2 linked regions of the Caenorhabditis elegans genome follow. The protein of the gene in region 1 interacts with the protein of each later gene in a pairwise test. Each region holds a gene or a part of one and is shown in the gene's direction. Other genes may lie near its edges.

Region 1 (4,650 bases):
GGAATACGCTGATGCGAACATCGTCGGGCTCACTGTCACGGGAAGAGTTTGAGAAGATCTACGCATTGAAGAGATCTGAGCTCACAAAGGAAGAGATCGAAATTCTCGGACACAACGACAATATCAATCGTCATTTGGCTGTGGAGAAGCGTATTTCTGCAATGTCAACGTCTGAAAAGCTGAAGCCATATTCTATCCCGCTTTTCCAAAAATGCGGTTATCAAAATGGACATCACATGATCGTTGAAGTTTGCCCAGGAGTAGCGGAAAAGCTCAAGACGATGATTGTTTCGGTGAAAAATTCGAAAAATTTCGAACGAGTTCAAAGACCATAAATCACATATCCTATTGCATTTTTTTCGGTTTAAAGTTACTTTGAAGGCGCAAACGTTATCAAAAGACGAAGATTTTATGAAAAAATTTTAAAAATAAATAAAATAAAAATATTTTCGAAATTCAGCAAAAAATAATGATGCAAAAATAAACCATTCGCTACGAGACCCATCGAATTGCAATGACGCTTGCGCCTTTGAAGTAACTGTATGTTTCCCTTATTTTTTTTAATTCCAAATCCCTGTACTTTGACTATAAATTTTTGTTGTTTTCTTACTTTGCACATTTCTCAATTCCCGAAGTTATTTCGACATTTTTAATTGCTTTCCCTTTTTTAAATTTAAACATTCCCCCGGTTCTCACTTACAAAAGTGATATTCTGTTGATATTCTTGTTTCTCGTTTCATAATGCTGGTTGAATTATCCAAAAACTCAACTTATACTTCAGTTTTCAGTTGAAAATATTGTTTTCTTTACCCAAATCGAGAGATTTCAGGTTTAATATTCGAATTAACCGCTAAAATTTGCTTGTGTAGATTTACGCTAAACAAGGCTCCGGCGCAACATTGGAGTGACGTCGGCAAATTTCTTCAGCGAAATTTTTTTTAATGGAAATAGATGAATTTTCTTGTCAACTTGTTCGTTTTGCCCCAGATTTCCTTCTTTACGCTTTAAATGACTTATTTCAGCTAAAAAAAATGGCCCGCTACCTTCTCGGCGCCACAATGTACGTGGAAGACGTGCTTCGAAGAGACGATTGGAGTTTAGAAGAAACAGAAAATGTGAAAAAATACTTCAAAAATGTGAAAAGCTTCAAAATTCCGAAGATTGAGAAACGAAAAGCCGAGGAATTTGATGAGCCATGCAGAAAGAGAGTAAGAATTTATTTTTCAACAGTTTTTTTCTATTTTTTACATATTTTTCAGTCAATTTGCAGTGCCGAGTCGAGAAGGAGAAGTTCGAAAATGATTTGCAGGCTGGCATCCGATTAATGACACTATTTGCAGGATTTGAAGGTAGAAAATTGAATTTTTCATTCATTTCCATATTTATTTGGCTTAGAAATCGACGAAAAAGCGCTGGAAAGGCTCACAGATTTGGCAAAACTTCGAATAATCACATCAGCAAGACAGATGGCGATTGCTCAGCGGAGACGGAAAGATGGCTTCGAAATTCCTTTTAAAGTAATATAAAAATTTAAAATTGAAGATTTTCTACAAAAAATGACACGTTGTATAAATTATTTCTCAATTTTTTACCAAAAATTATATCAAAAATCGTTACAGAGCCCCGTGGAATGGACGTTGAAGCTACAAGGCGTTCAAAAAGTTCTCGACATCAAAGAATGGTATGACGTCACGTATTGGACGAGATTTCGCGCATTGAAGATGCAATTAATCGACGAAAACGGAGACTTGAAGTCGCCGAAAAACCAGAACTAATTCTAATTTCATGTGACATATTTATTAACTTATTTATTGATTTTCTTCTGTGAATTTTGCATAAAACTAGCCAATTTCTCTCGATTTCATTGTAAAATGTCGTATATTTTTTCGAGGTTGTGTTTAAGCCTTATTATATTTACGATACGATTTTTATGACTTTTTCAATTTCAGAACAATATTCTGCAGAATACTTTGACTTTTTTCAGCTCCAAAACATACCGAAATTCTTATTTCAAGCTGAAATTCTCGAAAACCTTTTGAATAAAGTCAATAAAACGTAGAATAAACAACACGCGGTGTCGTTATTTCGGAGCATCGTTGAGGTTTTTTAATTTCGTTTTTTTTTCGATTTCATCAAATTTCACATTTTTCGTAGGTTGTCAAACGAAATTGGTTATTTTTGTTGAAAAACAAGTTATAAATTGACGTAATTTTATTAAAATAAGTTTATCCTGTAAAAATTCTAACAATATATCCGATGGTTTTGCAGTTTTGTGCTGGAGTTCCATGGAAAACATTAGAAGTCGTGTTGTTTTTTTCGAAAAATAACAGCTTGTTAACAATTCTTCGCGAATTTTCCTATAAAATCTCAATTTTTTTTTTAAACCTATCCGTCTTACAAAAAATATCGATTTTGGCATTCAGCATGAGGAATATTATTGTGAAATCGAAAAAATAAAACTATTTCCAAGTTTTCTTCTCCAAAATTTGAGGTGTTTTATTTATTTTCTCCATTCGTTTCCCTAATCCAAATTTTTCCAGCTCCAAAAAATGTCAAAAGACGATCCGATCAACTCCATCTTCTTCGAGCACCAGGAAGCTGCTCTTTGTGCTCAACACGCGCTGAATATGCTCCTACAAGATGCTCTGTACAAGTGGCAAGATCTCCGAGACTTGGCCATTCAGATGGATAAAATGGAACAACAAATTCTGGGAAATGTAATGGAAAATACGAAAAAATTTTAATTGAAATTCTTGATTTTTCAGGCAAACCCAACTCCGGGACGAAGTGAGAACATGAACGAAAGCGGCTACTTTTCAATTCAAGTTTTGGAGAAAGCACTTGAAACATTTAGCCTCAAGCTCACAAATATCGAAAATCCTGCGATGGTGGACTATAAAAATAATCCCTTGTACGAGTTACCATATAATTTACAAAAAAATTTCATAATTTCCAATTCAGAACCGCCCGTGCTTACATATGCAACCTCAGAGAGCACTGGTTTGTGCTCCGAAAATTCGGAAATCAATGGTTCGAGCTGAATTCGGTGAACCGTGGGCCCAAATTGCTCTCTGACACTTATGTTAGCATGTTCTTGCATCAAGTGTCGTCGGAAGGTATAAATTCATGAATTTTGAAGCTAAATTTTGATAATTAGAGCCAGATTTTTATTTATCCCTAAACTACAAGCTGTAGCGTTGATTTTTTTTTCTGAAAAAAAGTTCCAAAAATCGAAAATTATTTTAATTTATCAATTTTCAGGTTATTCAATCTTCGTGGTGCAGGGAGTTTTGCCAAGATCCGATGCAGACGATCTCATCTCGCTATGCCCAGTTGTACCGCCAAAAGTTACACCGAAAAAGGAGCAGAAGCTGGAGAAAGTCATGACAAAATTCTTCAATACCGTCGGAAAACGACTTGGCGGTGGAAGCGGTGCTCCTCCGGATTCTCAAGAAGAAAAAGATTTGGCGATAGCTTTTGCAATGTCTATGGAAACAAAGGATGGCTCTGAAGTGTCTCGAAGTTCCGCTGAAATCGATGAAGAAAATCTCAGAAAGGCGATTGAGCTGAGCCAGGCTCCAGGACCATCAGAACCGGCTGAGATACCGCTATTGACTCGTTCTCGATCTTCGACGCCGCCAGGAGCTTCAGAACCTTTTTCAAATGCCGAACAACAGCGCAGAGATCGACAAAAGTTTTTGGAGCGATTCGAAAAGAAGAAAGAAGAGAGGAACGATGAAAAATAACGATTTAATCGTAAATTTATTATTTGAATTCTATTATGTGAATATATTCTCGGCTTTTCCTGTATAATTCGATTATTCATTTCTCCCGATACTTGTATCCCCAAATACTTGGTGCTTATGTATGAACCGCTTTCAGACTATGTGATATATTATTTAGAATTAGATGAAATCTCCTTTTTTTCTGAATTTTGTTGCCCTTTTCAAAGTTATTCTGGCATTCCATGAGTATTACTACCTTCAATTTTAGAGTTTTTGGAAAAAATAATCATTTTTTTTAGATTGAAAATGTTCGAGGAATTGGATGCAGAGGACGGCGGAGAAGAACAGGAAATGCCAATGAATGGTGATTTTTGAAAATTCAAGAAATTTTTCGAATTCGAGCTTAAGCTAGTGCTCCACGAGGAGTAGGATTTCCCAGTTTTTTTACTCAAAAGAAGAAAATGGCAATATCTTAAGCTATTTTAATACAAAATTTGATAAAAATTGAATTTTTTTGTTAATTTTCTGATCATTTTTTCCCGATTTTCTCTGAAAAAAAAAACTTTAAAAAATTATTTGATGGCACCCTTGAGCCGAAATAATAAAAATATTTTACAAAATCTAATAGTTCCAGAATTCGGCGGCGGCGGTGAGGACATTGACGATATTCTCGGCGATGCTCCGGATCTTCCAGACGACGAATACTCGAATAGTGTTCCACAAGGAGCCGCTGATGGATCCATTGAAAACGACGAAAGACGAATGAGAAATGATGGAGCCGGCTCAACGAACGAGGATGACGAAGAGCCGATCGAGCCAACTTATCTGGGCGACGCAATCGATTCGCTTATGATGCATTGGTGTCAGCTGCTGACGAATGTATCGGTTAAAGCGCCCGTTCCACCACCATCAACACTTAATCATG
Region 2 (4,675 bases), 6.1 Mb from region 1:
ATTCTTCGTGATTGCACTCATTTTCTACCGTACCAAAAGAGTATTTATATTTGGATCTTGTTCTTTTTAAATATTTGTTTTTAATTTCAGCGAAAGTTAATTCGTCTAATGACTGGAATTGCAGCTGCTCTGTCTTTACTCTTCTTGTACATTGGTAATATGAATGATGAAGACGGGAAAGAAGTGAGTGTCTGCGTCCCTTTTTCTTATATACACTCTCATTTCTCTATGTCTCTTTCAGTTCACTGGCCGCATCGCATCTGGCGCTCAAATTGCTGGGTCTCTGGTCTGTCCGTATCTAATAGTAAGTACTAGTTACCCGTTTAGCCGTCGGGGGTATAGCTCAGGGGTAGAGCGCTCGCTTCGCATGCGAGAAGTCTGGGGTTCAATTCCCCATACCTCCAAATTTCATTTTGCAGTACAAAGCAGTAACATCGAAATGTATAGATTTTGTACCCCTGGCTCCAGTGGTCTTCACGTGGGTAATGGAGCTCCACGCGATCGTTTATAGTATTGGTATTGATGATTTTTACATGCTGGTTTGTTCGGAATTTTTTAACTGTTATCAAATCAAAGGGTCACATTTTCGACGTGGCCTAGAAAGATCTAAAACTCGGTCGGCGGTTTATCTTTAATTTTCACAGGTTCTTTCTGAACACTCTGAAGATTGAGAGTAATGTACTTAAAATAGTTTTTCTATTGGTTTTTCGGAGAAGATTTCTTGAGATAGTTCTTAATAACGTGGCACCAGGCTGACCCATTACGGTTTGATCTACAAAAAATGCGGGAAATTTTTTGCCCAAAAAAATGTGACGTCAGCACGCTCTTAACCATGCTAAATCAGTAGAGAAGTCAGCGTCTAATTTCCCGCAATTCTCGTAGATCTACGTTGATCAAACCGACATGGGACAGCCTGACACCACGTGTAAATTCAACTTTTTGAAAGTGACCGAGTTTTCTCAGTTTCTAGGCCACGCTTCATTCTTGAAAATTCGTTGCTTTTAGATGTAAAACACTAACTTCAAGTATGTGGACAATTTTTTGCACCAATAAATGTGTTAAGATAATCCTAAATTCAATTTTACAACTTTTCAGTTAGCCAACGTGATCTTCTTCTGTATGGATGGTTCACTTCTCTCGATGTTCTTCGTGTATCCAACGGAAAAAAAGAAGAAAAATTTGAAATCGTCACCAATTCCAACAGTCATGTAACCCAGAATGCTTCGTGTTTTGGTCAAAGCATCTCAGGTTTTCTATCAATTTTCTCTCCAACACCAATTTAATGTTGCTTCTCTCTCCTCCTCCCACTCCCAATTCTCAATTTTTCGAAATAAACGGGTACCAGTTCCTTAAGACGGTCAAACATTTATCATTAATCAAGAATTGAAAAGCGACACTTGAATCAGCGAAGAATAAGCAAATCACGGAGATTTAGATACGAGAATAAGAAAAATGTAAAAAAGACACAAAAAACGGAAATAAGAAGAAGAAGATGGGCGAAATTAAGAAGATGTGACATTGCACGTTTATCATTTCGTCGCGTTAATCGGACATTAACACCGCTTTGTCTCAACCACATACAATTTTTTGAAAAATTTCGGTTTTTTGTGGGTGATTTAGTCTATGTTACTGTAATCGAATTGACAAATTCTTCGATCGTCTATGACTTTAGCTTTATAATTTAGGTTAGAAAAAGAGAAGTTTCGGAGATGGAATGTGTCAACTTATGTTCCAAAAAACCCAATAAACTGCAATATTTATATGAGAAATATAAACTGAAGGTAAGAAGAATGGCAGGTTATATTATTAATTGGTGTATATGAAAGAAGGTCATTCGTTTATTATATTATCTATTCTTAATCTCTTTTATTACATCCAAACCTTTTAGAGACTCTCTGAACATTCTATTGAATTCGAAATTTTCATCTGGGGATTACTGTACTTAGCTCATAATCGTATCAATTCCTGAACACACTCACTGCCGTTCTCAAAATTATGTAAATTTTCATATTCTCTTTATGGCATCTGAGGATTATTTTTATGGCTTAAAATCAATTTTTGGCAACTTGACTACTTACAAAATGTGTTCTCATGCATAACTTTGTAATAGGTGGGTACGAATGCTTTGTTCCTTTGAACTTCAAAGCGTTCCCAAGAACGCCTTGTATTGGTATTTCTCGACGATTTATTGTCCGTTTCTCGTTTCTTGTGATAATTATAGAGGTCAAAATGTCACTTTTACTTGCCATTCATATATTCCAGTCTTTTTTCAATTTCAACCCGATCTCTCAGTTCTCTACCAATTCGTCTTGAGCTAATTCCCTTGTCAATCGATGAGTTGCTTCACCTCCACTAAATTATTCATTTCGCATCAGGAGCAAGTAGTCTGTACGACTTCCGTTTCTACCGAAGAGCAACAGAAGCCTCAACTCAAACTGGCAGAACCACCTGTGATAACAATGAGCGGAGTTACTGCAATTGAGATTCCACAATGGATTCAAGATAATCAAGAGGATTTTGTACCACCTGTTTGTAACAAGTGTATGTTCTCGGATCAGTTGAAAGTTTTCTACGTTGGAGGACCAAATCAAAGAAAAGATTTTCATTTGGAAGAAGGAGAAGAGTTTTTCTTCCAGAGAAAAGGGGATATGGTACTGAAAGTGATTGAAAAGGGTCAAGTCCGTGATCTAGTAATCAAGCAAGGTAGGATTCATCACAAAATTTATTTTTGAATTTGTAAATTAATTAATTAATAACACAAACTCACATGGTTTCTTAGATAACTTTTTAACTAGCTTTTTAAATTAAAATTCCATGAACAAAAAATTTAGACTGAAAATTGAGAATTTTTCACAATTTATAAACGGAAACTAAATCTGTGTTGTCAAAAATTTTTTGGAATTATTTTTTTCACAAATGTTAGATAATCTGAATCAAAACTCAAAATTGAGCTCTCTATTTTTCAGGGGAAATGTTCATGTTGCCAGCAAGAGTAGAACATTCACCTCAAAGATTTTCCAACTCTATTGGTCTTGTCGTTGAACGTGAACGAAAGAATACTGAATTTGATTGTGTTCGATTTCTTGTTGGTTCTTCCAATATCACACTCTTTGAAAGATGGTTCTATTTGACTGATGTTGTCAAGGATTTACCTCCATTAATCAAAGAATTTTATGGATCGAATGAATTCAAAACTGGTTGGTTTGTAGTTGTGTGAGCTCACCGATTTTTTGTTTCAGGTAAACCAGGAAAAGGAACATTTGCATGCAATGCTCCATACGAAGCAAGATGGACTGATTTACCCGTACCTATTAATAGAAAAGAATTTATCTATGATCATATCAGTGAAGTGAAGTAAGAAATTAGTTGGTTTTGTTTCGGATAGTTAATTTGAGAAGTTTTCAGAAACGGACCAGTGAGAATTTATGGAGCACCTGAGTACAAAACTGAAGTTATGTTGCTAGGAGAGGGATCTTATGATTTGGAAAGTGGAACTGTAGAGTTGCTAATTTGGTTGCAGGTATGGCAAAAACAGAAAAATCCCAAAAAAAATTCATGTATCATTTAGGAAAACACATTTGCGGTCGTAGAAGAGAGCGGGTTCACTTATGCAATGAAATCGGAGACCATGGTTAGGATAAAACCGAACACAAAGTAAGAATACGGAATTATAGGTTCTTTGAAATAATTTTGTTTTAGGTGTCTTCTTAATGTCAAAGGAGGATTTGCTATCACCATCAGAATGCCAGCATAATTTTTTTTTTCAATTTTGTAAAAGTCAATTTCCATATAGGCTGATTGAATGAATGCTTTTTTCAATATTTCTATCTTTATTCCAAAATGTAATTTCAATTTTGATTTATAACAAAATGAATGACATGCAATCGTGGCCAACTGATAACATCAATTCCGTTTCATTATCATCGATGTCAAATGTCTCGTGTAACACACGCTGTCGGTTCAGCAAAACCATCATGTTCTTCAAAGCTTCAGAAAATTTGTACTTTCAGACCTCGTTGTTCGTTTCAGGAAATTATGTCACTGTAAAAACTGTAAAATTGGTTAAAAATACAAAGAATCCAATTTTTGTTTTGTAGTTAGTTTACATAACTATTTTTAGTATGATTTCTATTTCATTAGAAAAAAAAACGTTAACTCATTCCGAAAATTTTTTAGCAGAAAAATAATAAATGCCTTTTAGCCGTAATTTTCAAAGGGGTTGTTTTTAAATTTGATGGGGAAGATTGAAAATAATAACTTAAAATAACTTCTCGGTTGGAAAAAAACTATAATTTAGAAAATGTTCACAATACCTCATTTTTTACTGTCAAATCGTCACGAGAACTTTGATTGTTGAAATTTGGCCAGTACTTCCTTGTTTTGAGCATCTTTTTAATATGATCAATGACGTACAATCCAAGTTTCAGATCTTTAAAAACATCTGATTACGATTACAGATCTTTTATTTTATTGTTCATAGCCCATTTTTCGTTTTGCAACCCTTATCATTAATATGCCCTTTTTGTGTACATTTATTCTTTTTCTTTCGTTGTCTTCATTGAGTATTAACTGAAATTGTCTAGGATTATGAGCATCGGAAACTGAAATGATAAGTATTTCCCGCGCTCATGTGGTTTTTTTTTTAATTTTCTAACGGTTTTTCCTCAACAGTTGA

What was found.
Region 2: the proteins of atx-3 (region 1) and haao-1 interact in a two-hybrid assay, tested with the Caenorhabditis elegans proteins (one large-scale study listed by BioGRID).

The regions. Positions count from the first base shown.
Region 1 is NC_003283.11:15,574,778-15,579,427, reverse strand, and holds atx-3 (Ataxin-3 homolog), read left to right. Parts: upstream 1-1,984; 5' UTR 1,985-2,101; intron 2,102-2,540; 5' UTR 2,541-2,549; coding exon 2,550-2,717; intron 2,718-2,765; coding exon 2,766-2,911; intron 2,912-2,961; coding exon 2,962-3,116; intron 3,117-3,261; coding exon 3,262-3,746; 3' UTR 3,747-3,930; downstream 3,931-4,650. Other genes in the region: F28F8.7 (ELM2 domain-containing protein), read left to right, coding at 1-335; F28F8.9 (uncharacterized protein), read left to right, coding at 942-971, 1,023-1,208, 1,271-1,349, 1,396-1,517, 1,620-1,775; Coiled-coil domain-containing protein mdt-28, read left to right, coding at 4,032-4,089, 4,354-4,650. UniProt on the Caenorhabditis elegans protein: Acts as a chain editing deubiquitinating enzyme that binds and cleaves 'Lys-48'-linked polyubiquitin chains, with a preference for chains containing four or more ubiquitin molecules thereby modulating protein degradation by the ubiquitin-proteasome pathway.
Region 2 is NC_003283.11:9,503,230-9,507,904, forward strand, and holds haao-1 (3-hydroxyanthranilate 3,4-dioxygenase), read left to right. Parts: upstream 1-1,680; 5' UTR 1,681-1,781; intron 1,782-2,375; 5' UTR 2,376-2,459; coding exon 2,460-2,703; intron 2,704-2,966; coding exon 2,967-3,197; intron 3,198-3,239; coding exon 3,240-3,354; intron 3,355-3,405; coding exon 3,406-3,520; intron 3,521-3,568; coding exon 3,569-3,654; intron 3,655-3,699; coding exon 3,700-3,754; 3' UTR 3,755-3,889; downstream 3,890-4,675. Other genes in the region: swt-5 (Sugar transporter SWEET), read left to right, coding at 1-40, 91-183, 242-304, 420-539, 1,096-1,212. UniProt on the Caenorhabditis elegans protein: Catalyzes the oxidative ring opening of 3-hydroxyanthranilate to 2-amino-3-carboxymuconate semialdehyde, which spontaneously cyclizes to quinolinate.